Linked DNA regions of Ovis aries. The protein of the gene in region 5 purifies or fractionates together with the protein of the main gene of each other region. This does not show direct contact. Links are inferred from orthologs where the notes say so. Each region holds a gene or a part of one and is shown on either strand. Other genes may lie near its edges.

The links.
Region 1: the proteins of NCK1 (region 5) and ABI1 purify together in Homo sapiens (co-immunoprecipitation; 4 studies listed by BioGRID and IntAct, with this or other methods). This does not show direct contact. The link is inferred for Ovis aries from reciprocal best matches to the Homo sapiens genes NCK1 and ABI1.
Region 2: the proteins of NCK1 (region 5) and GIT2 purify together in Homo sapiens (co-immunoprecipitation; 3 studies listed by BioGRID and IntAct, with this or other methods). This does not show direct contact. The link is inferred for Ovis aries from reciprocal best matches to the Homo sapiens genes NCK1 and GIT2.
Region 3: the proteins of NCK1 (region 5) and ARHGEF7 purify together in Homo sapiens (co-immunoprecipitation; 3 studies listed by BioGRID and IntAct, with this or other methods). This does not show direct contact. The link is inferred for Ovis aries from reciprocal best matches to the Homo sapiens genes NCK1 and ARHGEF7.
Region 4: the proteins of NCK1 (region 5) and WASL purify together in Homo sapiens (co-immunoprecipitation; 4 studies listed by BioGRID and IntAct, with this or other methods). This does not show direct contact. The link is inferred for Ovis aries from reciprocal best matches to the Homo sapiens genes NCK1 and WASL.
Region 6: the proteins of NCK1 (region 5) and TNIK purify together in Homo sapiens (affinity purification with mass spectrometry; 3 studies listed by BioGRID and IntAct, with this or other methods). This does not show direct contact. The link is inferred for Ovis aries from reciprocal best matches to the Homo sapiens genes NCK1 and TNIK.
Region 7: the proteins of NCK1 (region 5) and PDGFRB purify together in Homo sapiens (affinity purification with western blotting; 3 studies listed by BioGRID and IntAct, with this or other methods). This does not show direct contact. The link is inferred for Ovis aries from reciprocal best matches to the Homo sapiens genes NCK1 and PDGFRB.

What each region holds. Positions count from the first base shown.
Region 1 is NC_056066.1:17,230,811-17,234,310, reverse strand, and holds part of ABI1 (abl interactor 1), read right to left. Parts: intron 2,577-3,500; coding exon 2,476-2,576; intron 1,688-2,475; coding exon 1,607-1,687; intron 1-1,606. UniProt on the Homo sapiens protein: May act in negative regulation of cell growth and transformation by interacting with nonreceptor tyrosine kinases ABL1 and/or ABL2. May play a role in regulation of EGF-induced Erk pathway activation. Involved in cytoskeletal reorganization and EGFR signaling.
Region 2 is NC_056070.1:63,467,486-63,470,985, reverse strand, and holds part of GIT2 (ARF GTPase-activating protein GIT2), read right to left. Parts: intron 1,813-3,500; coding exon 1,670-1,812; intron 1-1,669. UniProt on the Homo sapiens protein: GTPase-activating protein for ADP ribosylation factor family members, including ARF1.
Region 3 is NC_056063.1:84,832,088-84,836,348, reverse strand, and holds the start of ARHGEF7 (rho guanine nucleotide exchange factor 7), read right to left. Parts: upstream 2,801-4,261; 5' UTR 2,750-2,800; coding exon of another isoform or gene 2,744-2,749; 5' UTR 2,295-2,743; coding exon 1,806-2,294; intron 1,048-1,805; coding exon 963-1,047; intron 1-962. UniProt on the Homo sapiens protein: Acts as a RAC1 guanine nucleotide exchange factor (GEF) and can induce membrane ruffling. Functions in cell migration, attachment and cell spreading. Promotes targeting of RAC1 to focal adhesions. May function as a positive regulator of apoptosis.
Region 4 is NC_056057.1:89,673,191-89,677,312, reverse strand, and holds the start of WASL (actin nucleation-promoting factor WASL), read left to right. Parts: upstream 1-1,322; 5' UTR 1,323-1,690; coding exon 1,691-1,807; exon of another isoform or gene 1,808-4,122. UniProt on the Homo sapiens protein: Regulates actin polymerization by stimulating the actin-nucleating activity of the Arp2/3 complex. Involved in various processes, such as mitosis and cytokinesis, via its role in the regulation of actin polymerization.
Region 5 is NC_056054.1:252,945,119-252,949,325, reverse strand, and holds the start of NCK1 (cytoplasmic protein NCK1), read left to right. Parts: upstream 1-1,407; 5' UTR 1,408-1,523; exon of another isoform or gene 1,524-1,798; intron 1,799-4,207. UniProt on the Homo sapiens protein: Adapter protein which associates with tyrosine-phosphorylated growth factor receptors, such as KDR and PDGFRB, or their cellular substrates. Maintains low levels of EIF2S1 phosphorylation by promoting its dephosphorylation by PP1.
Region 6 is NC_056054.1:217,053,465-217,056,964, reverse strand, and holds part of TNIK (TRAF2 and NCK-interacting protein kinase), read right to left. Parts: intron 2,795-3,500; coding exon 2,688-2,794; intron 1-2,687. UniProt on the Homo sapiens protein: Serine/threonine kinase that acts as an essential activator of the Wnt signaling pathway. Recruited to promoters of Wnt target genes and required to activate their expression. May act by phosphorylating TCF4/TCF7L2.
Region 7 is NC_056058.1:59,246,384-59,249,883, reverse strand, and holds part of PDGFRB (platelet-derived growth factor receptor beta), read left to right. Parts: intron 1-1,593; coding exon 1,594-1,688; intron 1,689-2,601; coding exon 2,602-2,734; intron 2,735-3,260; coding exon 3,261-3,365; intron 3,366-3,500. UniProt on the Homo sapiens protein: Tyrosine-protein kinase that acts as a cell-surface receptor for homodimeric PDGFB and PDGFD and for heterodimers formed by PDGFA and PDGFB, and plays an essential role in the regulation of embryonic development, cell proliferation, survival, differentiation, chemotaxis and migration.

The DNA.
Region 1 (3,500 bases), on a different chromosome or scaffold from region 5:
AAACAGTGGTTCTCAAACACTGATCAGAATTTTATCTTAAGGGCCTATTGTGATACAAGCTGCTTGGCTCCAGTCTCAGTTTCTGAATGAGGAGGTCTGGAATGGGACCTGAGAATTTACATTCTTAACTAGCTCCCACAACAATGATGCTATTGATCTGGAAATCATATTTCAGAAGCCACTGCTCTAATTCAGTGGTGGTTAAACTTTTTGGTCTTAGGGTCCACTCTAAAATTAGAGAACCTCAAAAAATTTTTATTGAAGTGAGTTACAGGAATAGGTAATTACCATATTAGAAATTAAAACTGATTTATCTTTAAAACACATGAATATACAAATACATGTTCCTTTAGCTGTCAAAAATGATGCTATCAAATGTTATGTAGCCTCTGGAAAATTCCACTGTGTCCTTGTACCAGAATGACAATAAAAATGGCAAACAAGTCTTAGTATTATTATGGAGATAATTCTAACCTCAAAAACGCCAAGAAAGGATTTTGGCAACACCCAGGAGTCACATATCTATAGTTTGAGAACCAGTACTCTAGGGGAAATATCTAGAAATTAAATTGATAAATCTAAGGTAAGAAACCTGGTTCAACTTGACTGAGTAACAACAAATTACTTTCTAAAGGGAGCATATTAACTAATAAACTGCCACCAGCAATGTACCTTTCTGTTACTGCACATCCTCACTGACATTTGGTACTCGGGGACTTCGACATGCTTACCTATCTAGTAGCTATAAAATAGTATCCACTGGTTTTTATTTTCTGTCTTCCTGATTATTAATTAGGTTGAGGGCATTATTTTTTCCACATGAACTTTCTGCCAACAACTTCTATTACTAGGGCCTTTTTTTATTACTTCCTTTTGAGTACAAGTGCCAATGTTTTTAAAAGAAGATGCTAGATGTTTTTATTTCACCTAAGCTCCATTATTTGAGACAGTTCTTTATCCATTTCCACCCAAATGCTACTGTGCATTTCTAGGCTGAATGGTTTTATATAGTCTATATTTGGAATTCCTGTATGTTCAATCCAGTCTCCCTCAACCTGGGAACAATTTAAATGTATTTTATTGATAAAAATGTTTTCACAGCACCCTCAGATGCCATTAATCCTTGACTACAGCAGAGTCTTTCAACTGTGAGCCACAGGAAAGCCTCAGAGCACCCTACACATCATTCTCTTTTCCATTTTTCTTCTTCCTGTCCTCCACCTTCACCCCACTCCTTTGACTGTTGTATACACCAGGGAGTTCCAAATTAAGTCTCACTTTAAAAAAATACTGCGTCACTAATAAAAAAATTTTTTTTGAACAATCACTGCTATAATACTCCTAGAAAGATCTAAACAAAACAAAAGCTAAACCACATTAATTTGGTTATAAACAAGGCAGAGACACATTTGACATCACAGAGAAGTTTCTGAATAACTTCAGAGGCCTTTCACAAGGAGAAATTAGTTTAAATTAGACTTACTACTTTAAACTTTGTGCTACCACCTACAACCTAATAACTACTACAAAAGCTAACCGTCCAACAGGAGCTGACTATGAACTAGGCACAGTAAGTTAAACCACTCCAGTGGTTATGCAGTCTCACCTATCACAGTGTTCGCGGGGAGGGGAGGTGGAAGAGGTGGTGCTGGTGGAGCTCCAGAAGGAGGGAGGACAGAAATGTTTTCTAATAAAATAGTTTATAATTCAGGTCAGAGTGCAAGAAAGAAAACTAATCATTCTGAAACAGTAAGAAAGTACAATGCTTTGGAAAGAAGAAAAAAACAGAGAAAGACACCCATATGCAAAGCATGTTAAAGAATAAGAATTTTACAAGGTAAAAAGGTCACTGAGTTCACATTTTCATTAACTATAAAATATGCCTGTTTTTATAAGTAGCTTTTACTCCTTTTTCAACATCCTTGAGAAACTAAGAATTTTTCCCAGTTTTGATTATCGAACTCATTTTTCAAATGCATATTTTAACAACAAAAAGTCTTCCTTTCATTTACTAAACAATCAAGGGACTAATCATAGCTCTACTATGATTTCTTAAATTTTTATATAATCTAAAAAGTAAAAGAGCTTTTCTTAGTTTAATCCCATGTTACATTCAGAGCGTTTACTGATGTATATATCGATTATCATACATAAAAGCAGGAAAGTCACAACCAGCTATCCCAGAATTGATACACCTACCAGCCTACAAGGCAACATCAAAGTTCAGCGATGCATAATTCACATTAAAGACACTGATCTTTCAGTTGAATTATCAACAATATTGGTTTGCTCTTGAAATAGTAATTATCATTCTTGACTAGTACCCAAGTATTTCTAAAGCAAAATGGCCCCAAAGTTATTTAATATGCTTTTTTTATAAGTAAGGAGAAACTAATGTAACTAAATTGCTTCAGACTTCCATAATAAAGCTCATAAATGCTACCACAGATGACAGTGGATTAGGGGATGACATACCTGGTCCAATGGTGGGTGGTGAGGGTGTAGGCACGGCGATGGGAATGCCAATACTGCTGCTGCCACTGTTCTCTCGGCTGCCACTTCCTCCGCTGCTTCCACTGCAAGAGGGAGAGAAACACCATGAAAACAGCAATTCTACGGACTCCTCCAAAAAATGCAATCAACTCAAAGCCACCAGACACTATTAATGATGGATGTGTGTATGCATATGTATACACACACTTACATAGAAAGAAACGTTTTAACTGTCCAATACAAATTTTAACTCTAATACCTGAAGTGGTTTTTGTGTTTCACTGTGTGTGTTAGTTGCTCAGTCGTGTCCGACTCTTTGTGCCCCCACGGACTGTAGCCCGCCAGGCTTCTCTCTCCATGGAATTCTCCAGGCAAGAATACTGGAGTGGATTGCTATTCCCTCCTCCAGAGGAACTTCCCAACCCGGGGACTGAACCCTGGTCTCCTGCATTGCAGGCAGGCTCTTTACTGTTTGAGCTACAGGGAAATCCATGTGTTTCACTATGTTTCTCCATCTACTGAAAAACCAATATAATCATATAGTACTCAGAACTGTAAGAGATCATTGAGAAACGAATGACCAATACAATCTCATATACAATGAATCAGCAAGGATGTAAAACCTAGTATAAACAGCAGTGAACAAACCAGACATGAACTACACTGTCATGGAACTCCTGGTTGAGAATGGGAAACAGACATTGAAAACAGTGGGATGGAAGCCACAAAAGATGCTATAGAAGTTCATAAAAATGGTAACCAACCTTAGTCTGAAATTAATATGCAAACCTCTAATTAATCTCAAAGAATGGTAGTAAGACAGGGAAATTTTTGGAAAAATGAGCAAATGAGAAAGAAGACAGTAATGAAATTTCACCAAGGAACATTCTAGAATAGTAGATACTATTAAATTTTAACTTCTGTGGACTTACTGTCCCTTTAGGTATACAACCTCACACTGACCAGTTTCAGTAATGTGGAGTGGACATATTGTTGTTCAGTTGCTA
Region 2 (3,500 bases), on a different chromosome or scaffold from region 5:
TTTTACTAAGCATCAGGCAGTGTTCTAGGGGCTTAGGTTACATAAGAAAAGAAAATAGAAAAAGATTCCTGCTTCCATGGTGTTTACATCCCAACTGAGTGAGAGAGGGAGAAAAATAATAATAAATAACTACATAGTATAGGGGAATGTGATAAGTGCTATGGAAAATAAACAGAACAGAGGAGGAGTGAGGGGCTGGGGAGCTGAAAGAGAGGTGGACGTGGGTGCATTTTAACTAGACAGCTGGGTGGGGGGACATGAGCAACAGCCTGCAGGAGGGGAGGTCACTAGTCAGGTGGCTGTCTGGAGGACAGCGCTCCAGCCTGTGGTAGGACTCAGCTAGAGGGCGTGGGTGTGCAAGGCCCAGAGGAGGGGGAGGCTAGCCAGTGCAGGGACCCTGTCGTGCAGGGTCCAGTCAAGACCCGCCTTCACTCGACTGAACTCAGCACTTCCGGGGAGACTGGCGGAGATGTTTCAGATGGGACAGCTGACTCTTGCCATCCCCTCCATGTTCCCTGCATCTGCCGGTGGCACCACTGACCCGCACAGCTGTGTAAGCTGGAAAACTCCGGACACAACTCGGGTAAATCTACCTTCCCACTTCCAATGTCTAACTTGTCCCCAAGCCCTGCCTTTTCTGTCTTCCTGTTTGCCCATTCTCAAGTGTTTGCTGAGCCCCCTGTGGGCCAGGTCAGGGATATTCAGCGGTAGGCAGGCCAGCCAGGCCCCTGCTGCCCTGGCCTCGGGCTCACTCTCTGCAACGGTGACTTTTGTTTTCCATCCAGACCCTCCCAGCTGAAGAGGCCCTGAGGTGAGCCTGCGTCAGCTCTTGTTTGGACCTTGTCGGCACCTCCCTGCCTGGGTTCCTCTCCTCCGCTCCTGACCCACCAGAACGGTCCTCCCCAAACAGAGGACCCAACAAGGTGGACATGGTGTTCCCGCCCTGCCTAAAAGCTTCCTGGGCTCTGCGCTGCCAGCCAAGGTCTCAGCTCTTCAGTCTGGGGTCACGCTCCTGCACGGTGTGATCCCCGCCCTCTGCCGCAGCTCAGACTCCCTCTCCTTTCAGGCTGCCTCTCCACGTGACCAGACGTCCCCCAGATGCCTGTCTCACCTCCGCTCAGTCTGACCCCTCCCTGCCTTTCCACGTGCCCACGTCCCGGGCCTTCTCAGCCTCCCCTGACACTCCCTGTCAGTGACAGGCTGTGTCTGTGGATCGCCTGCTCCCACCCCTCCGCTCCTGTCTGCACTTATGACCCTCGAACCGCGGTTCCCTCTCCTCTTGGTGAGGACGGCCTCACAGAGGAAAGAGACCAGCCCTCATTCAGGAGAGTATTATCCAGAGAAGTTTGGGTAATACCCAACAAAAGTAAACATTTGTTGAAAGAGTAAAACCCACCCGTCCCTCCTCATAGGTTTTATAAAGTTAATACTGCAGCCGGGCTGTGAGTCAGCAACTGACTCAGGGGCAAGGGACCCCCTATTTTAAAACTTTAAAATATTTACCTTGTTGACCTTTGCTTGGGCCAAACTAGTAGAAAACCCAATTTTACCTCCAGAGCACTTTTCCCAGGCCTAGCCCTCGAATGCTTTACAAATCAGGCAAATTTTTAGGAGGAAAGATCTGAAAAAGAACATAAGCTCACTTTCTGTGTGCAATGCACCACCTTACCTTTTGCCTGTGGGCCTTGCTTGCAGTGGCTTCCGGATCCGTGTCTTCGTCTGACGCCACACTGTCGTAGTCTGGCTGGTCATTGTCCTGACTCTCAACACTGTGCTGGTTACTAATTGTTTTCAGTATCAGTTCTACATTGTCTGTCAACAGAAGCAAATAACTTTACTTCAGGCTTGAAAAGAACTTCTTTTTTCCTAAAAGAAAAATGAGCCATTTAAAAGACTGGAAGAAAAATGACAGAAATAGCAAGGTTCTATTCACCCCCAAAAGGGATAACAGAGCACGTTATCAACCGGACAGAGTCTACTGAAAACTATAGAGAGAGTGAAGCAACCATCTGAGATACCTGCCAAAAATGGGCACGAATTAGATGGCTAGGGAAGAGCTGCTCATGTAAGGTGGCAGGTTCCCAAATCTGTAATCATTCAAGGAAACAGTATAGCTCGAAATCACGAAAATAAAGCTGTAACTAAAGTACGATTAACTGTAATTCAGTTACAATTGTAACTCTTTTACAGGATTTAACATCAAGTCAAAACAGAAAGAAAACTGCTAAAGTAAGCCTAGAAACTAGGAGACCACTGAATAGGCACGTTGGCCTTTCCTTAACTGAACGCCAGGGAGAAAGAGAGAGAAAGAAAATGACCCACTGGATACAGACCATGCAGACCAAGAGCATATGGTTACTGGGAAGTAGCGATGGTTCTATCAGCTCTGACACATTATGAATGAAAGATTTCGCAAATTATCCAAGTCTCTCATCTCTCTTTCAGGCAACTCAAGCAAACCTCAAATTTCCAACACTGTTTATGGAAATTTTGAAGGATAATATCTGGGTGATAAATTATGTTTACTCAAAGGGAATTTTAGTTTTCAAAATGAATATGTAATATATATATATACCATCAGATTACAGAAGTAGTAAGGACTCAATATAGAAAAATTGAAACTAATGATAAGAGTAGTCATTCATAGCTATTGATACATGTCATTCTATTTTCTGCCAGTCTTTTCCCAAGCATATACAAATACAGACAGTAAATTTTACTATTTGTAGCAGTCACGGTCTATAAAGTTGCTGTGAAGAACAAATCAGCAAATACTGAACCACTGTTCTGAGTGGAAATACAGTTAGGTTCCTGCAAACATCTGGTCACATTTTTGTCAACTGATAAATACATAACCTTGTTTCACATGCGTTTCTGTTTAAAGACATCTTGAATATATATCATTGATCCATCAACATTGAACTCATGGTTAACAGCACTGTAACTCAGGCCTGAACAAAGCTAATCTAACACATGTATTTTCTGTAAGACATGTCACCGCCTTCGTGTGCTCAGGAATGCTATACAGCTCTTCAGCACTGTACTTGGGGACCACTTTAAACAGTGAAATTATCAAAAAATGTGAAAAACTGTGGCACTAAATAAATATCAAAAAGGCTACCTGCTTACAGTATAAGAGCTGAAATAAAAGGAAGAGCATGGCCTTGCTCAGTCTCACATGGGAACATGTGTTTTGGGTGACTCAAATTTTTTACCACACTGTACAGATCCACAAATTACCATCAAAGTGCTGTAAGATTTTAAGGTAATAATTTTTAATTTATTTATCTTTTTGCTGCCCCATGAAACTTGCAGAAATCTTAGTTCCCCAACCAAGGATTGAACCTGCTCCCTTGGCAGTTAAAGCCCAGAGTTCTAACCACTGGGCTGCCAGGGAATTCTCAAGGTAATAAATGAATTTTAATGAACAGGTGAACTGGCAAATATGAGATCTGGGAGTAATGGGGATAAATAAAGATATTCATTTGTACATATGCATG
Region 3 (4,261 bases), on a different chromosome or scaffold from region 5:
TGTCGGCCCCGGCCCGTGTCTGCACGGGGCGTGTGGAGCCCCGCACTCCCGCCGCGATGACCGAGCATCGCCACCTGGTGGACGGAGCAGAAGCAGCCTCCGACCCCGGAAACAGACGCCTCCAGCCTCGCGTGGGGTCTGTATCTACCGAAGCTGCTCCTGCCTGTGGCCCGAGCGCACGTCCAGCCCCAGGACAGCGCATCAGCCGTGGTCCTGGCAGCCAGGGGTGGCTGGGCTGGGCCGGGGCATGGAGTCACGGGGGAAGCACGGTTCTCAGAGCCAGCCTGGCCGCTCACAGCCGGCCACCCTCTTGCTGAGTGCTCACATCAAGCCCATCCCTTCACGGGGCGGGGCGGGGCGGGGGGGGGGGGGGTTTGCCGGCAGGAGCAGCGTGCTGCCTGACGGACAACCTTCATGAGATGCCACAGATCTCCTCCTGCAAGGCCTGCTCCGGGTGGAGTGCTGACGTCCGTCTGAGCCCACCTCTGCTCCAGAATCCAGACCTCCACCCTTGTCTACACTCACTCACCCGGGTCCTAATTCAGCTTGACCTGAGGTGCTGCCATTGCAACCGCCAAGAGTCTCCACTGCAAGCCAAGGTCAAGCACAGAAGCCCAGCCTAGAGCTGTGGGCGCCTGAGGGCCCTGGGAGTGGTCCCTCGGGCCCACTCCTCCCCACACAGTGAGGGCAGAGCGCCCCCATCCGAGGGGCCAGGACAGCCCATGAGTGCACCCGTGGACGAGGCCACTCTGCTGCTCGCTCAGGCAGAGGAGGGGAAGCACCAAGACACACGGGGACCCGAAAAGGAAGAGCTGCTCTGACAAGGAAAAAGAATAGCATCGCAGCAAAGCCACAGCCAAGAGCTTAGCGCGGTCCTTTTCTAAGCTCCTGCCTGCTGACAGGAGGGCGCGGTCTCTGCCCGTGGCTTCCCCTCCCCTCAGGTTCAGCAGAAAGACACTTACCTGCTGTTACTTTATTCAGCGTCACTAAGGAGCTGAGGACCTTGTTGAAATTCTGCCCCTGATACAAATCGTTTGCATCAAACGTCTGCAAGGGAAAGAGAATAAGCAGAATTAGCCGAGCCCGGCACTGGCGGGGCGTGGCAGTCTGTGCAGCGGGAGGAAGACAGTGGGCTTTGCAGGTGAGACCCGGGCAAGGGCACCCGAGGAGCTCAGCTTCCAGGAGGCCGGGCCACTCTGCTCCTGGGGCTGAGTCCAGTTCTGAACCACCCTGCCCCACCCTCCCAGCGACCTGGGGCACTCCTGGCACTCAGAGAGGGCTCTTCTCCTTAGACTGAGGCCAAGGCTGCTGGGCATGCCTACGACAGACTTCCTCTCCCGGTCACAGCCCAGGCCAAAGTCAGGAGCAGCCAAAGGGAAGCCCAGATGCTGGAGTGGACACAAGGGTCGAGGGAGAGGAAGCGGGGAGCCAGACTCCAGAAAGAGGGGCGCCTCCACCCCAGAGACCAGGGACACAACCGCACTGGCCCAGCCCCGCCCGCCCAGGAGCTGGAAGAGAATGCACGTCGGGCTGCCCAGACAGAGCGCCACGGTCTCGGACGTGTGCACAGACACCACGGGCTGAGACACACACACCTCACTCCCAAACGCTGTCTGAAGATCACACACAGCTTTGGATCACTAAATAACAACAACTCCCCACCAAAAAATTTAACCATCAGATGATCCACAACTTGTGCCAGAGAAAGTAGGGAAAGAAAATTCTTTCAGAGATGCAGGTAACAGAAAGATGTGTTCATATGTCAAAATGAAAACTAGGATAACATACTTCAAAGATTCTCTCACCGGGGCAAAAGTGACCTCCGGCGGCCAGCCATCCCAGGAACGGCGTCCTCTGCAGGTCGCCCCAGCTGGTTCACGGTTCCTGCGTCTCACATCCTGCCAGGAAGCCCGGCTCCTCTTCCTGCCTCCCACCCCCTGCGCAGCCCCGGAGGATTCAGCACACTGCACAGTCCCCGCACAGGCCGCTGCAGAAACTGAAACCCGCCCCGCAGCCCTCACCCCCCACATCCAGAGAACAGCCCGCACACAGTAAGAAGGCAGCAACCCGCCCGGCTCCCACCATCCCACCTCCCCGCCACGGCTCGGAAGGTCTCTGTGAGGACAGACCCAGGACACAGGGCTGCTCCAAATCTCGACAGTCACTGCCGTCTCTGGCCCACTCTCCTGCTTTACCTTCTGAGATGAGTAAACATCCTCGTGAGGTGAGCTTAGACGTGAACCAAAGAAAGAAAATCCAAGAGCTGAACAAACCAGCTCCAGAAAGGAGGCCATTAAACCCAAGTTGAGAGAGGAACGCAAACAGAGCTGGGAGAGGGGAAGAGTCGTGAACTCAGACAGCCAAGCACTCTGCGACACTGCTCACACCTTTCTCGCAGATGGAGCAGGAGATAAAACGTTCGTGATGCCAGATCCTGCCCGCCTATGAAAACGAGTACCCCTTAGGACAGTCTCTGGAATCCCCGTGATTCCAAGATTCAAGTCAGAGGAGACCGTGATTCAGGCAGGCGTGTGCAGCTACATCTGCAATGGGCTGGCTGAGTTCTTTATTAAAAGGAGGGCCCTGAACAGGCCTCCACTCCCTTCTGTCAGAACACAAAAGCTCCTTCTCCTGGAAAAGGTGGGAGGAGGCAGTCTCAGCTCTCAGGTCCTAATTCCAGAGCTTGGAAAATTCAAATTGTAGTATTCTGCAAGAAAAAATATACATAAAAGTATCTACTAACCTTCATCGTGGTAAGGCAGAGAGTCACAAAACCCAGAAAAACAGGATGTTGAAAGCTGAAGTTTCCTGTTATTCCAGAACTATATATCTTACTTGGACACCAGGAAGCGTCTGGTTGGCTGAAGCAGCCCACCAATGGGCTCCAAAGTGATGTCAGAACTTAAGTGAATTCACACACACACCACACTTCTCAACAGGAAGCTACACAATGAGACCAGACAAGCGCCTGCCACCGAGAGGGGAAGACGCACATTCTGAGTCAAAGATGTTTTGACTAAAGGGCTTCTCTAGAGAAAGATAACCAATTACTTCCTGAAACAGGAATGTATTCAACAGAAGAAAAAAATCTTAGGGTTCAGAGAAAGTGGGAATAACAGTGCACAGTTACCCCGGGGCACTCACGCTTCGGAGACAAGCCTGCCCGCCCGTGGACCCTCTGCCAGTGGTCACCTCAGTCCATCAGGGCACCGAGGCTCCCAGACAGAAGTCCACCCGCCCAGCCCCACCTGTGCAGCAGAGAAGGCAGGTTCTCGAGCACCCAGCGCCCGGAGCCGCCGAGCGCACGGGAGGGCTAAGGCGGACCGTCACGCGCCTGAGCCGAACTCGACCTCCCAGCCGTCACGCTCGCTCCCTACACCACCCTCTGACACGCTCTTTCCTTACACTTAGCATCACACGTGGTATCAGGCTTGGTCCCTGAACTAACACCGGACACAGGAGGGCTCACCCATCCCTGAGGAGGAGATGAGGCGCCACACGCCAGCCGCCACCAGCACCCACGGCGGGGCGATTCGGTCAGGGTGGCCCGCCCGCCAGAGCAGGAGCTCTGAGGCCCCCGGCCAGAGGATGACCACGCCGCCCTCCGGCTCCCGTCTGACTGCAGTCTCCCAGCCTCCGCTCGGCCCCTCCCCAGGCGCAGGGTGGGCGCCCCGACCCGCTGTCCTGCCGCTGGCCAACAAGAGCCAGCCCAAGCAGCCACTCTGAACAGGACACTGCCCTCACGTCCCAGCAGAAGCTTCAGGAACCTTCCAGCATAAGCAGGGCACGGCGCTCGGGAACTTCTCCCCCGGCCTGAACCCCAGGATAAAGAGGCCACTCAGCACACCCACGCCGTCTCCACAGCCAGCACAACGGGCAGGACACGCCTGCCGAGTGGTCAGCCACGGAGTCGTGCAGGCTGCTGGTGGGCAAGCCTCCTCTGGGTAAGAGCAGGACATAAACCCACGTCTCCCCCAGTAGAGCTGGCTCCTGAAGAGAGAGTACAGCTGCTCCACAGACCTGCTCAGGGAATCTCCCAGAAAGACCCCAGGTCCCCGGCTCGCCCTCAGAGGGCTCGGGCTCTCTCAGGAGACGTCCCCTCTCCCCCTCGCGTCGGCACCTCTGCAGGGGCCACTCGAGCTGTGAAGGAGGGTGGGGTCCAGAGATGAAGGGAGACAGGGCCCTGCCCAGGGCCCAGGGCACCTGTCGACCTAACAAGTCACCCCAACACCCAGACGCCCAACCACAAGCCGTGGCTCAG
Region 4 (4,122 bases), on a different chromosome or scaffold from region 5:
TAACACTGTAAACCAAGGTAACTTTGACATATCCATATTTTATGTGAGGACTCACAGAACTATGATTACATTTTCCTTTTAGATTTATTTCCACTCAGTTAATTTCATTAAGGCAGCCTTCATTTTTTAATAATTTTTTTAAAGAGTATTGATAATGGCTTAACAATCTGTTTAGTACACCCAAGATTTGTACTGGGAGCTTTCAGAAATATTAAAATCAAATAGTTTTACCAGCTTTCATTTGTTAAAGGATAGATGTCTTGAGTTTAACATGTTTTTTGTTTAAAAATAAACAAATACGATGGTAACGATTATACAATAAATGCTAATTTGTTTAAAGTGGAGATGTTTATTCTATAATTCAGGGCAGTGTGTATTATTTATCATCTCCATATTACCAAACTTCGTTTTAAGCCAGCTGTCTAGTGTTTAACCTACTGAGCAAAGGGAGTTACTCTAGTTTCCAATATTGAATATAAATTTTTAAAAGATTCCTGAGATTTCGGATTAAGTTAGATGTATTTTTCTGAGTGACATCTCTAAATGGGTACATTCATTTTGGATAAAAAGTAAACAAGGCCTTTGGTGTTTGAGAAGAAGAAAAACACGAGGAGGGGAAAAGGAAATATTTTTCAATTCATAAAACATCAGGGAAATGTGTGGAGGACCCATAGAGAAACGAACCCAAACTGCAATATTACAAATACATGTATCCTTTTGAGAAATACCACCGGGCAGTAGAAACCTTTTCTAAGTGCCTTTGCTTTTTAGGAACGTCCATCAGCAAGGTCTCTTCCACAATCCTGGCAGAGGCCTGTTCATCCATTTCCACTGTTGAAGTTGGGACAGTGTCTGAGAAACCGCAGGCACCTGCGGCTCTGAGCGAACTGGCGAGGAACACAGGGAAGGGCGTCCCTTCTCTCATTTTCCGTCTCCAGCTTCCAGAATTTTCTGACAGGAGCTCGAAAATCTTTTTTCTCGTGTCTCAGAAAAAAGCTACTTCGGGGACGGGTCTGCAATGACGCTCCGCAAAGGTGTGCGTCTCAGAAGAGGGGATGACAGCTCGCTGGCGGAGACGAGCCACCTCCTCTCTTCAAGCCTCTGTAGAGGACGACTATCCGAGGAACCAGTTCGGACGCCAAACGCTGCGACGGTCCCACAACCCCGCGTCACACCGCAGAGCGCCCGTAGCCCGCGCCTCAGCCGGAAGTGGGCGTGGCCTCGGGCCGGCTAGGCGAAGCCAGGCGCGGCGTGGGGAGGTGGGGTTCCTCCCGGGCCCGGCCCGCAGCCGCGCGTTTCCGGCGCGCTCCCCCGCGTCTCGCGTCCTGTGGTCTCGCCCGTACCCCGCTGCCATGTTGGATTGTGAGGCCGTTGCCGCCGCCGCCGCCGCCGCCGCCACTGCCGCCGAAGGAAGGTTGGGGGAGGAGTTGGGAGTTTAGCGCAGTCGCCGGAGTGCGAGGACAACGACCATCCGGCCAGAGCCTACCCCGGCGGGAACGGGGAGCTTCCCTTTCTCACAGCGGCCCGCCGTCGGCTCCTCCTTCCGTGGCCTCCTCCCTGCGCCGGAGGAGCTGCGAGATGCTACGCCTCTGATTCCCCTCCTCCCGCCCCTGTCACCCAGAAGGGGAACGAGCGCTCGCCCACTCGCCCGAGGAGACGGCCCTGGCCTCCCTACCCCGCCGGCGAAACCATGAGCTCCGGCCAGCAGCAGCCGCCGCCGCCGCGGAGGGTCACCAACGTGGGGTCCCTGCTGCTCACCCCTCAGGAGAACGAGTCCCTCTTCACCTTCCTCGGCAAGAAATGTGTGGTCAGTGTGTGAGACCCGCATCGCCGCCCCCGACCTTAGCCTCCCGGGCCCGGGAGGGAGCGCCGGGAGGTGGGAGTGGGGAAGGAGGCGGGAGCGGCGCGGGGAGAATCGGACTGCTGGCCAGGCCTTTCTCTGACCCGGCTCCCTGGGTGCGGGCAGTGCGGGCCGGAGGCCGCCTCTCGGACCTGCCCAGGGAGCAGGGAAGTGTCAGGTCCGCAGGCCTGTTCTGGAGCCCTGCTCGCTCGGACCCGGGTCCGTGCCTCTGCTGCTGGTTCAGACTTTACTGTCAGGCCTCGCGGGGATATTTTTATAGGAGCTGCCTGATCGTAGTAACTGGGCTCCTGGACTGGCTCTCGCTTCTCCTCCTACGACCCCGATGTGGGGGTACTTTCCTTCACAATGCCATTGGTTTCAGGAGTGGGTGTGGGTCGGGGACCGAAACTCAGATATGAATGAATCGGGCCGTAAGGTCGTCTTTTATTCTCCCTTGAGGATCTCAGGAAGGAATGAAGTCGAGTCCATCGGTTTAGAACGGGGGGCAGGTAATGCTGCTGCTCCCCACTGCAGAGAAACGAGGTTTATTTCTCCAGCAGTCTCTCTCAGGCCTGGTTTCTCTCCTCTCCACTGTTTTTGTTGTTGTTTGTTTGCATTGGTCGGAGATGCTGCTCTCCCAGAACCAAGCTCAGGGGAACCGCGATCTCCAGCAGTTCTTGCCTTTTGGGATCTGAGAATGGGTCTTACTTAGGTCGGTGCTGTGCGGCCTGTTCCAACTCCAGATGGCTGGTTGGAGCCAGCAGCTCTGCTGTGGGAAGGGGAATGTGTTGTTGACGGAAGCATTCATTACATTGGCTGCTGGCGCTTCTGGGGGTGGGGAGGTTGTGCTCTGTGGGGTAGGCCTTGTCAGCCTGCATCTTACTGGGGTGGCCGAGTTGAGCTGTGGTTGAGATTGTTGAAACGCTGTTCAGTTCCCTTTCTCCCCTCTTTACTGGTTAACACCTGCAGAGTCTGTGCCACTGGCACCCCGGAACCACCGAGGGAAATGTCAACAGAGCTGTACCTTTTACAGCTTTCCTTCTAATGTTAAATGTGTCACCCAGACTGCACCTGCTTGTTTAAGAAGTTAGGATTAGACAAGTTCTGGGAAGTTACTAGATTAATTGTTAACTTTCTAGGAGTTTACCCATTGTATCCTGTTCCACCTGGTAGGAGATTGAATCATTACGTTACGTGCAGATGTGTTTCGTATTTCAAAAGTTAGACCTGATCAGAATAAAAAAAGGTGCGTTAGAATCAGGATTTGGGAAAACAGCTTTGAAGACAGTCAAGCCCCCTCTTCACTCTCCCCACACAGTTTTTAAACAAACAAGATAACTGAGCCGGTGAGCCCTCTGTCTCACAGCAATTTAGTAATGTAACCGGAACTAGAAAAGCAGGACTCCTCATGCCTGTTGTGTTGTACTTTCCACTACATCATGTTGTTTTAGAAGTTTTTTTCTTACTTGTTATTTATTTAAAAGTAGTGTTAAAGAAATAATCACTTTTTTTTTTCATCAGAAGCTGATACAATTAAGGTGTAAGATTCTTAAAGCAGCCCTAATTTGTGCATATTTTCAATTTAGGAAAATCTCCAGCCATTTGAATGTGACATTATCTGCAAATGAAAAGTTTTTTAAAAAAATTTTCTGGTACACTACTTATGTTATATAATCTGTCTCAGAAAAGGAAGTAATTGTACTATGTGTTACATACCAGACACATTAGGCAGGGAGGGACATTACATTTATACACAAGCATACTGACTAATTGCTCTGCATTTCCTATAATGTTTACTGGTGTCAAAGAAATGACAGACATGTAAGAATACAGCGATAGATAAAGAATGGATTTCTGTCATTTAGAACCACACTGTTGGAGTTACCTGCTCTTGCTGTATGAAATGGTTGCAAAGATTAATATTTGAAGTCTCCAATTATTAGACAGTAAAGAATGAGATCTTAATTTCTGGAACAGTTCCCCCCCCCCCCCTTTGCTGACCATGCAGTATTTTGTACATTATTGAAATATTTTATCTCATTAAAAAAAAAATCATGCAATGAGATTTACAGGTCAGACCAAATTTGTTAAGCAAGAAGTGCATTCAGAGCTTTAAGAATTATCAAGAAAATGAAGCTGGAGTAGTTACAGTCGTAGCTCTCAAGGAGTTTCATTCCTTCTTTCACTCAGCAAAGTAGTATTGAGTAGCAAAGAGTCGGACACAACTGGGCAACTTCACTTCCTTTCTATAGTTCCTTTTGGAGAAGGAAATGGCAACCCAC
Region 5 (4,207 bases):
GGGCCACAGGTGATTTATGCTTGACCGTGTGATCATATATATGGCAAGTGAACCATATTCCTCTATTAGGATACAAATGAATAATTCTGAAGTTAAATACAGAAAAGCATAAATGAATGAAATTGGGGATTGAAGCTGTACTAATGCCTTAAACAATACTTACTGATGATCTACCATGTGCTAGAATCTGCCTGCAAAGTGGGAGACTTGGGTTCGATCCCTGGGTCCAAGATCCCCTGGAGAAGGAAATGGTAACCCACCCCAGTATTCTTGCCTGGACAATTCCATGTGTTACAGTCCATGGGGTCGCAAAGCGTCAGACAGGACTAAGTGCCTAACACTACCATGTGCTAGGTACTGGGGAAAAACAGTACTGACTGACATGATTTCTGATTTGAAATCATGTAGGGGTAGGGAGGTCTCCCCAGGTGGTAAAGAATCCCCTTGCCAGTGCAGGAGACGCTGGTTGTATCCCTAGGAAATGGCAAAAAGCTCCAGGATTCTTGCCTGGCAAATTCCATGGAGAGAGGAACCTGGTGGGCTTCAGATCCATGGAGTCGCAAAAAGTCTGGCTCTTTCAGCAGCTGGATGGGGAAAACACCTGTGCACTTACCAGGCTTCCCTGGGCGGCAAACGCCTACGCAGAGCCACAGAGATGGCTGGGGAGGAAGAGGCAGGTGATGGGGTCTGAGGCTCCGGCGTGGGGAGAACCAACTTACTGATGGCAGGTGTCTGGGGCTGGGCAGCTAAGAAAGAACAGACCTGTCACCGAAAGTCACTGTCCTCACAGCAAGGCTACGGCAACCAAGAATGGAAGCTATCCACGCACCAGGGCGCTTCGAAGGCCCTCAGACTCAGCTTATTTTGGTTTGCGGTTCAAGTTAAGGACACGTCTTACATTTTTCTCTCAGGACTCTACGTTCAGGCCTTTTTGTTTGCTTCTCATTTTCGCTCCCGTCCCTAAGAACTTTCCGCTGGTAAGACCTTCTTCAGGTGCAGAAACCAGAAGGAAGCTCCCAGAGCAGTCGGGGCTTAACTCGGAAAGCAGTCAGTTCTGTTGTGGAATCTCCTGTGGCGCTGAGGAGGAAGGCCCCAGAATAATCAGCCAGAGACACAGAAGCAACAAAACCCAGAAACTGGCAGGGCGCTTCTGTCTCTCTCACTCCCTCTCCACCGAGCAGCCTCAGCTCCACACCTAGCACAGCAATTGATTGACAGGAGGGCTCGCCCAATCCCAGAGCGGCGAAGACCGCCCTCGCGTCAGTGATAGGAGGGAAGGGGAAGACTGAACCTATCAGATTGGGCAGGGAGGGGGGGTTTCCTGTCTGCGCGGGTCCGCCCAGGGCCTCGCGACCGGTCGGCGCTGCAGCCCCGCCCTCCCGCCGCGCACGCCCCGCCTCTCTCCCCAGAGCTACGCGGCGGCAGAGCGGAGGCCTCGTGCCGTAACGGCCATCGCGGCGGCCGTGGCGGCGTCCCTGCCCTCCTCAAGTGAGCTGGCGCCGCCCGGGCTTGGCAGAGGGGAGGTGAGACGGTCCTGCCGGCAGGCAGACGCACAGACAGCCTTTTTCTCGTCTGGGGAATCTACATAGCCCGTTACTTGCCGCGGAGCTTCCTCTTCCCTGCTGAAGTTAGCTCCCGGGGCGCCGTCTGCCGGCTCGGAGCGAAGCCGGAGGGGGCGGGGAGGCCGCTTGGTCGGGCCTGGGCTTTTTGCCTCGCGGCTTCGCGCGACCCTCCGGCCACTGCCCTGGGAGGCGCAGCCCTACGACCTTCCTGTCCCTCCCTGGAGCGTCGGGTCCGGGTGAGCGCTGCGGCCGGCCGTCCCTGGAGGCTGAGAGGTCGAGTGTGTGGCGTGCACCCTCCTCCTTTTCTTTACCTCTCAAAGTCCTGACGGCTTTGTGGCGCATTCCGAGGCCGCGGTGGTGGTGGAGAGGGGCGCTTACCTCTAGGAGTGGGAGGGAGCCGTTCAGGGTGCGGAGGATGGACATCCTCGGGATGCGCCTCCCGCCCCTCCCCCCACCCAGCCCCCTGCAGTTTCCCTTGTTGGGAAATCTGGGTTATTATAATATCATGGATTCGTACGTGAGTTACTTGGGCTGTAAGCTTTTGACTTGAGTTGTAATATATCCGGGGGGAAAAATGTATCTTGGTAGTTGGTTTTGTAACCTTTCCTGTGTGTGTCCATAAAAGTTTGCTATTAGAAGCTCGGGAAGCTGAATTTTGTGCCGGACTGAGAACCCTTACTTTACAGACGCCCAGTTTAGTGTCACACTAATGAACTAGTCACTTAAAAATAATTCTGCCCGTTAACTTTGGCAAGAAACCAGGGGAGTTAGGAAAGGATGAGTTGAAGAAATTTCTATCCCCATCTTGGGTGGTGAGCAAAAAAAAGCTCACTGTTCAGTCAGGACAAGTAAATGTTGCAAGAGGTATTCATTTTTAAAAATCTTACTTTGGTAGATGTAAGAAAGACCAACCATACAGTTTATTAAGCAGATGGAAAGTGCTGTGTCTCAACCCTCAGGGAGTTTACAGAGTAAATGGGGAATTATCCAAGAAGAAGGTTCTGTTTGGTAATTGTCAGTAATATTCAGTTCTTAAATAGATATCCCTCATAGTTTGATAGAAACTCGAGATCTGTGCTTTGGTTGATTAATAGTTTTATTTCATTTTTATTGCAAACTTTACGATTTTCTTCTTTGGAAAATTCTGAACAGTTTGCAGAATGTTCAGGATTTCTCAGCTGTGCTTGTTCATATATTAAATTTTAAACTTGTTTGTTCTGTTTTTCTAAATATTTAGTCTAGATTTTACTAGTGCTTTCAGGTCCTTGAAAATAAAACATGAAACATAACAGGGTACGTTTTGTTAGATATTGAGATATGTTTTAGGCCACTGGATTTTTTGCACCTTTGAGAACTTCCCTGCCAAAACTCAAGGTAGATTTGATGCAAATGTTATAAATCACTTGTCAGGAAGACTTAATAAATCCATATCCTGTCTATTTTATTCTTTTATAGTTTAACAATTTTTACAATTTATTTACCTTTGTAATATGGAAAAATACCAGATATTTTTCTGCCTACACCAGAAGACTAAATGATTTTCTTATTTCGTCAATAAGTAGAATTGGAGGAAACTATTGAAATCACTAAGCATTTAACAAATTCTCTGTTAATACTTTGCTGTGGTGTTTTAGGAAGACAATTGACAGGGCCAAAAATGACATTTAAAGATTATTTAATAAGGCAACAATTCTGTCTGGATGTTCCTCACTTTATTTGAAAGATAGAATTTATAGTCTTCCTTCAAAACTGATTCCATATGCTGACTTTGTTTTGGTGATATTTATCATGCCTTAAACTACCCAGGCATAAGCCCTGGTTTTATCTTAAGACTTCCTCTCACCACATAACATTGCCCAATTTTTGTCAGCCATTTTCTGAAATTTCTTTCAGATATCTGTTCTAACCACTCGTTTTCTTTTTTCCCCCCAGTAGCTTTTAACCGGATTTTCTGCCTCTTTTCTCCCTTAGTATGTTCTGGCTTCTGCCTTGTTCTAAAATAGTGCTTCCACCACCCTCACTGTTAAACCAGCATTAGTTCCCTGTTATTTCGAGTATAGTTCAGAATTCCCAGCCTTCTAACAGTCTGCTCAAAACCTGTTTTTTTCTAATGATAACAGTAATTCTCTATAGGAGCTGTCCATCCTAACACAAACCAATCTCTTGTTCTCATCTAGATTGTGTATTTTCCTGCCTTCATGTCTGTTGACACTTTGCCTGTTTATTGCTAGTATTTTTTAAAAGAAATTTTCCTCCTTAAATTAAGTGGCAAGTAAAGTCAGATTTTGTTAACATTTCACATTTGGTCCTTCTGCACAGCCTTCTAGATCTTTCGGTTTCTGTGTTGTTGCTTTCCTTTGAACCCACAGCCCTTACTGTTTTATCATTTCTTTGGTTTTTAATATGTGGACTTGTATTATAATACTACAGAACAATATTGTGGGAATGTTGAATCCATCCTTCCATTTTATACATAGGGAAAATGTAATCCATACAGACTAAGTTCACTGAAATTCACCTAGTGACCCTGGCAGAGCTGACTTACATATACCTTAATTTCCTACTTGATTTCCTAACTCAAGTTCTGTGTATTAAAATTTATGTGTGTATTCTTATGAAGCTATACTTCTTTTCATCTCTTGCAG
Region 6 (3,500 bases), about 36 Mb from region 5:
GCTAAGTCGCTTCAGTCGTGTCCGACTCTGTGCGACCCCATAGACAGCAGCCCACCAGGCTCCCTCATCCCTGGGATTCTCCAGGCAAGAACACTGGAGTGGGTTGCCATTTCCTTCTCCAATGCATGAAAGTGAAAAGCAAAAGTGAAGTCGCTCAGTCATGTTCGACACTACATGGCAGAGACGGGGATTCTCCATCCCCCCTTCCCTGCAATGCTTTTGATTATCATTGCAGGTAAATAATTATTACTGCTAAGTTCATTTCCTCCCTACATTCTCTGTAAGCAGAAAAATGTTAGCTGTATTCACAAGATCTCCTTTCTTTGGACAAAATACAACGTTTAAGAGGTTCCAAGGGAAAAGCACATGTTTTGCAAGCCACTGACCATTTATTGGGCTTCCCTGGTGGCTCAGCAGGTAAAGAATTCACCTGCAATGCAGGAGGCTTGGATTCGATCTCTGGGTCGGGAAGATCCCCTGTTGGAGGGCATGGCAACCCACTCCAGTATTCTTGCCTGGAGAATCCCATGGACAGAGGAGACTGGCAGGCTCTAGTTCATGGGGTTGCAAAGAGTTGGACACAACTGAAGCAACTGAGCATGCATGCACGACCACTTATCAGTTATTTTGGAGCCTTAATGTTATTAAATTAGTATCTCAGAGGGAACAAAGGACTGCTTTTTATTTGACTAGAGAAACACAGTTCTCTTTCTTTTGGGTTGATAGAGGGAAAAAGACTTAAAGTTGAAATGATGCTTGATGTACAGAAACTGAAATTCTAAACAACTTATCTCATGAACACAGCCTAGAAGGCAGGGTTCAAAGGAACAAGAAGCCCTGATAACTGGAGGTTTACTATTGCTTGGAGAGGAGGACTGGTAAAGTTCAGGCTGGCAATCCAGCCTCACATTCCTTTCACTCCCTGGTCACAGTCCACACAAGGGGTCCTCAGTCCTGCTCACAGCACCGGCTCGGTGGTGACAAGCTGCTGGACAAAAAAAAATTCAGAGCTTCTGCAACTGGCAACTCCACTCAGAATGAGCTAGCTTCTTTGCCCTCCAGAGGTGAATGTTCTTAGTACAGTTCTGTCTTATTTACAGACTGACTCCTTCCTAAGGCTTTTCATATGAAGAGAAAAATGAAAGCCTTATGATCAAAACCATTCCATATTTTAGGATCTGTACAAATAGTCATAACCTTCATTTCCAGTCTCTTTTCTTTGACTAGCAAGAGACTGTCCTCTTATGAACACAATGAAGAATAAAACAGTACCCCTAAGTTCCTTTTTATAGTCTCAACAGAGGCCATTTGCTATTTCAGCTGATCCTAAAAAGGAGTGTACTCATGAAACATGTGAGGGGAGTTTGATGAACGACAGCAACAAACAGCATCTGTTACCCCATAAAATCTGCTGTGATACTGTAAGGATATTGTTTATTTTCCAGCTTCTGTTCAGACCTCTACACCCACCAGTAGGTGGATGCAACTTCCTGATTGTAGGAATATACATGGTTGGTAAAAAATTCCAGAAGAGCAAAGAGCATCACTGTATTTCAGTGACACTCCACAATTCCAGAGATGACTTCCTCATGAGAACTAGTCCTTTTGCAATTTGCCAAACTAGGACAGCTCTGCAGCTGGTCACTATGGCACTTCTTTGCCAATTATTTTCTTTCTTTCTTTTTGGCTGAGTTGGGTCTTCATTGCTTTGCCGGGGCTCTTTCTAGTTGTGGCGAGCACGGGCTTCTCACTGTGGTGGCTTCTCTTGTTGTGGAGCATGGGCTCTAGGCCTGCAGGCTTCAGTAGTTGTGGCTCACAGCCCCTAGAGCATGGGCTCTGTAGTTGTGGTGCATGGGCTTAGTTGCCCCAAGGCATGTGGAATCTTTCCAGACGAGGTATGGCACTGAACCTGTGTCCCCTGCATTGGCAGGCTGATTCTTAACCACTGTACCACCAGGGAAGTCCTCTTTGCTAATTACTTTCTACTGTCTCAATAGTCCTCAGGGCACATTTCTTTCTTTTTTTAATTCATTATTTTTATTTAATATAAATTTCTTTATTTTAATTGGAGGCTAATTACTTTACAATCTTGTGGTGGTTCTGCCATACATTGACATGGATCCGACACGGGTGTACACGTGTAAATTGGAGTATAGTTGCTTTACAATGCTGTGTTAATTTCTACTGTAGAGCAAAGTGAATCGGTCACACATATATGCATATATACTGTCTTCCTTGGATTTCCTTTCTATTTCGGTCACCACAGAGCCACAGGGCACGTTTCTTGACCTGATGCTAAAAATCATCTCAGATCAGGCCACTTTGTTTGGCTGGCTTCATCACACGGTCCCTGAGGTTAATGGTCAGGGGTACCACACCCAGACTTCATTTGTAGTTTTACTCCCACATTTGAAAACCTGCCAAATAAGGTAAGCCAGACTGGCTTCTGCATTGATTCCGTGATTCATTTGCTCATTCATTCATGAGCCCACATTATACACTGGTTTCTGTGAAAGGCTACTGAAGAAATAAAAGACTTGCCTCTGGCCCACCAAAATTTACAGTCCGGGTGGCCAGTCAACATGCCTTAGAAGTGAAAAAAGAACAAAGGTGGTATTTTAGGAAAGCAGTAATGACAACGGTAGGTGGGGCTCTTCCCTTCACCTTACCCATCTTCCTTCCCTTACCTTGCTCTGATGGGTTGAGATCCTAATCTGGGTCCCAGAGCACTACCATTTCCAGGAGAATTCTTTCTTGCTAATGCTGGGGATATAGAAGTTGTTCTTTGAGGCACCTGAAAGGAAACCAGAATTCAGAAATATTTTCCATAAAATAACTTCCATGTGGTACTGCCTGAAATGCAGCCTACTCCTTTCCTAGGATCTGCCAGGAGACATGGAATGATCAGAAACAGGAAAGAAACATCTCAAAGAAATACTTAACTCCCTAAACAAAATCAAAGGAAAGGCAATGAGGCACATTTTAGCAACTATTAATGAGTATTGCCTTCAATGTTAAAAACAAATTTAGAAACACAGCAAGTGAATTACTTTGATGTACAGGGCTAAAATAATTGCCTTCCTTTGTGTGCACAAGAGTGGTGGACACCAGAAATTTCTTTGGGGTATCATGAACTCAGTTGGCCATTGGAAACTGCATCTGATGACAGTCATCCAGATAAACAGAGTTCCATTTTTAACTCACAGCACAACTAATAAACAGATGAGGAAACTATGAAATCTGGTGAGAAACTAGGGTATCAGACTAGAACTTGGGACATAAGCTCAGTGAGCTCAGAGAAATGACTGGAATAGGTCCTAAATATTTCCACTTGCTAACCAAGTTGCAATTGCTAATTCAAAACAAACTCCTACCACTGTGATTCCAGAGGTCAATTTGCAAATGTAATTTAAAACACAGGATTAATAATGAAACTGCTGGAAGGTCTTCAAAAAACTATGTAAGTACCAGTTAGACTGTGAACTACAGTTGGAAATTGT
Region 7 (3,500 bases), on a different chromosome or scaffold from region 5:
CAGTCACTACGGTGCCCAGATGCTTTTGCTACCTGCCAGTCCCAGTGCGTACATGGACCTGTATGCATAAACTTCATTTATGCACCTGTTTCCTCATCCAGTAAATAGTCACAGGGTCTCAGCTTCTCTCTGGAGAAAGCCCAGCCCTGCCTGTCCTCCTAGTGCCCATGGTCCAGAAAGGACACAGATGAGGAACTAGGCAACCTCACTGCGAGGGTCAGCTTCTGGGGGGAAAGCCTAGAGGGAGAAGGAGCTCCATCCCCATCTATAGGATTCAGAAAAGTATCCTGGTGAAATGAAGCTTTAGGCCAATATCTGAAAGAGAACTAGGAATTAGCCTAGTGAGGAATGGTGCTCCAGTCAGAGGGAACAGCCTGTTTAAAAGCCCAGAGGCAAAGTGAATTCAGAGCAATTAAAGAAATCAACGTGGTTGGAGAACAGAGTTTGTATGTATTTAGGGGGTGGGGGAGGAGGGAAAGGGGAAGGGACTACAGGAGAAGCCAGAAGCCAGTGTGAGCAGAGCTGTGCAGGTTGTACAAGGTGTTTTGGACACACTTATGCCGGCACTTAGGTAGGTATTTGGGCTTGTATAAGCAGATACTTCTTCACACAGGCCTGCCTTCCCCTGCCCTGTGGTGGGGTGGGTGGTGGTTTTAATGCCTTATCTCATCTACACTCCTATACATACCTTCATATTCCTGAGCAAGTGGGCACCTACCGACCAACTCTGAGCAAGGCAGAAGTAAAGCTTTTGCGTGCCGTCTGAGGGGGAAGCCATGTACCACCCTGCAGGGAACTGTCATGGCTGGGTGAAGTCCCCTCTTTTTGCTCAGAAGATGTAAGCTCCCTAGAGCTCTCTAGGGAGCAGAAAAGGGCCTGTGGGGGACAGGGGAGGAGGGAGGGAGTTTCCAAGGAAAGTCACGGGTGGCCAGAGGGGCAGGACAGGGGTGATGAGGGTCTGGCTGAATGAGGAGGGAGTGGGAAGAAGTGGGTATGTGCAGCAAAGAGGCTGAGGCTTTGAGGGTAGAGGAGACTCAGGGCTTGGGGGGCCCAGAGTTGGCCCTGTATGGTTATCCCTGTTGCCTGGCCCCTTCCTCATTCTGCTTTACGATTGCCATCATGGCGGGTGGGGGTAGGGGAGGGGAAACAGGCTCTTTTGTGGAGTCTGTATGCCTCAGGCTATGGGAGTTCAGTTATTGTATCCATCGGCCTCTGTCCTAGCTGTGCCAAGCCCCCATGAGGGCCTAGATTCAGAGGAAAGGTAAACCACAGCCCTGCTCTCAGGAGCTTGTCTTCAATCTGGACCTGCGGCAGACAGGCCAGACTGACCTTGGAAAGGGCTGAGGGGATATGGAGGCCAGTGGTGATCCAGGGGGAGTTACTGTAGGGCAGGGAGTATTTAGGGTGAGGCTGGAGGTGTGGCCCAGAAGAGAAAGGCTGGAGGTCTGACATCATAGGCCAAAGCGGGGATGGAGCTGGTTCCATTCTGGGCAGGATGGGCAGAGAGGTTTTGTGGTACCAGAGGTAGATTGCAGGGAGGGGAGCTGCCAAATGTCCTGTTTGTTCATAAGCATCTCTCATCTCTGCGTCCAGCCCTGCCCTTCAAGGTGGTGGTGATCTCAGCCATCCTGGCCTTGGTGGTCCTCACGATCATCTCCCTCATTATCCTCATCATGCTCTGGCAGAAGGTAAGCCCCGCCTTTGCCTAATGGGTTCAGAGTGGCACACCATTTTTTCACATGGACCTCTGCCATCCTCTAGTGCTGCAGGATCTGGCCATGTCTGGGGCCCAGCATGGAGCTCAGGGGATAAAATGATGTACAGTAATGCAGGGTGTCTGAGCTTCCTCCAACCGCAGCAGCCTGGACCAACATGGGCCTGGTCCAGACCATCTGGAGTGCTCCGACTCTGCAGCGCACCCCTCTCCCCACCCAGCATCCTGCTCGGGCATCATGTCTGTCCATCCTAGCCACAGGGCACGAGACCTTCAAGGTGGACTGCCTGGGTTCCAGCATTCTTCCAGCTCTCACCCACACTAGGATTCTAGTGAAAGGCATTCTAATCCTGCTAATCTGTCATTTCAGTGGTCTGTACTGCCGTTTCACCATTCCATGACTCTACCGCAGGATTGCTGCACTCGATTCTGTCATTCTAAGATTCCAGTCCTGTGATTCCAGCATCCTATGATTTCAACAGTCTAAGGTTAAATCTTTCTGAGATTCCCACTGTGACTGAGCCGGCATGGGGAGGGGCCATCCACATCCAGTGGAGTGTCCCTGCCTCATGTCACTTTCCAAGGCTACGTGCTCCTCTATTCCCATCGGAGGAGCAACTGAGGTTCTGGGAGAAGCTGGTGAGGAGGTCCTGATAAGCCTGTGGCTCAGCTGTCAGCTGCTTCTCTGCCACCTCCTCCTTACATCTGTTCCCATGGAGCCCGTAAAGGCCTTGGCTCTATTGATAACTTGCTGTATGACTTCAGATCTACTGTATGACTTCAGATAATCTTTTCTGGGCTTCAGTTTTTCTTGTCTCATCTGTTTCATAAGGAGCTGGACCTAGTGGTCCGCCTCTGATGATCCATCCCTGATCTTGATCCTGCAGAAGCCACGCTATGAAATCCGATGGAAAGTGATTGAATCTGTGAGCTCTGATGGCCATGAGTACATCTATGTGGACCCTATGCAGCTGCCCTACGACTCCACCTGGGAGCTGCCACGGGACCAGCTTGTGCTCGGTCAGTCCAAGGAGGCCTCAAGTGGCAGTCTGGGGACTTGAGGCGGGTGGGAACACTGTCTGACATCTGGGCCCAGCCTTGCCATGATTGGCTTGAGACCTAGGGCTGATGTCTTGCCTTCTGTGGCCCTCAAGCCCTACCCTCTGTACAATGAGGGTAAGATGATCCCCCTTGAGACCCTCTAGCCTTTATGTTCTATGATCCAGAGATGCTGTGAGATGAAACCCCTTTGTGGAGAAAGAGGAAGTGCCAGGCCTGTGCTTAGTGCAGCTGGAGAGGCTGAGAGGGTACGGAGAACCTGTGCTCCCCTCTCAGGGAGAGGTTTTCCAGGGACTAAAGAGGGACCAGAAAGTAGGCAGGACTTAGGTGAGACCAGGAAGGACCGCAAAGCACTGTGATTTTAGGAGCCTTCATGGGAGAAACACCTACGTCCAGGGTGGCTTGAGGGATGTCTAACCTGACCTCAGAGAGCATGCATGTTGAGATTCTTCATGAGTCAGCAGCTGAGAGATCATCTCTTTCCCAGGACGCACGCTGGGCTCCGGGGCCTTTGGGCAGGTGGTGGAGGCCACAGCTCATGGCCTGAGCCATTCTCAGGCTACCATGAAAGTGGCCGTGAAGATGCTGAAATGTGAGTCCTGGGAGCCCGCCCCTCCCTCCCCTCACCCCCAACTCCCCCGCACATTCAGGCACTCCCAGAGCAGGCCTTGTGCTGATTCTCAGGGTGCAGAAGTACAGGCATACCACAGCCAGCAGCACTCCCAAT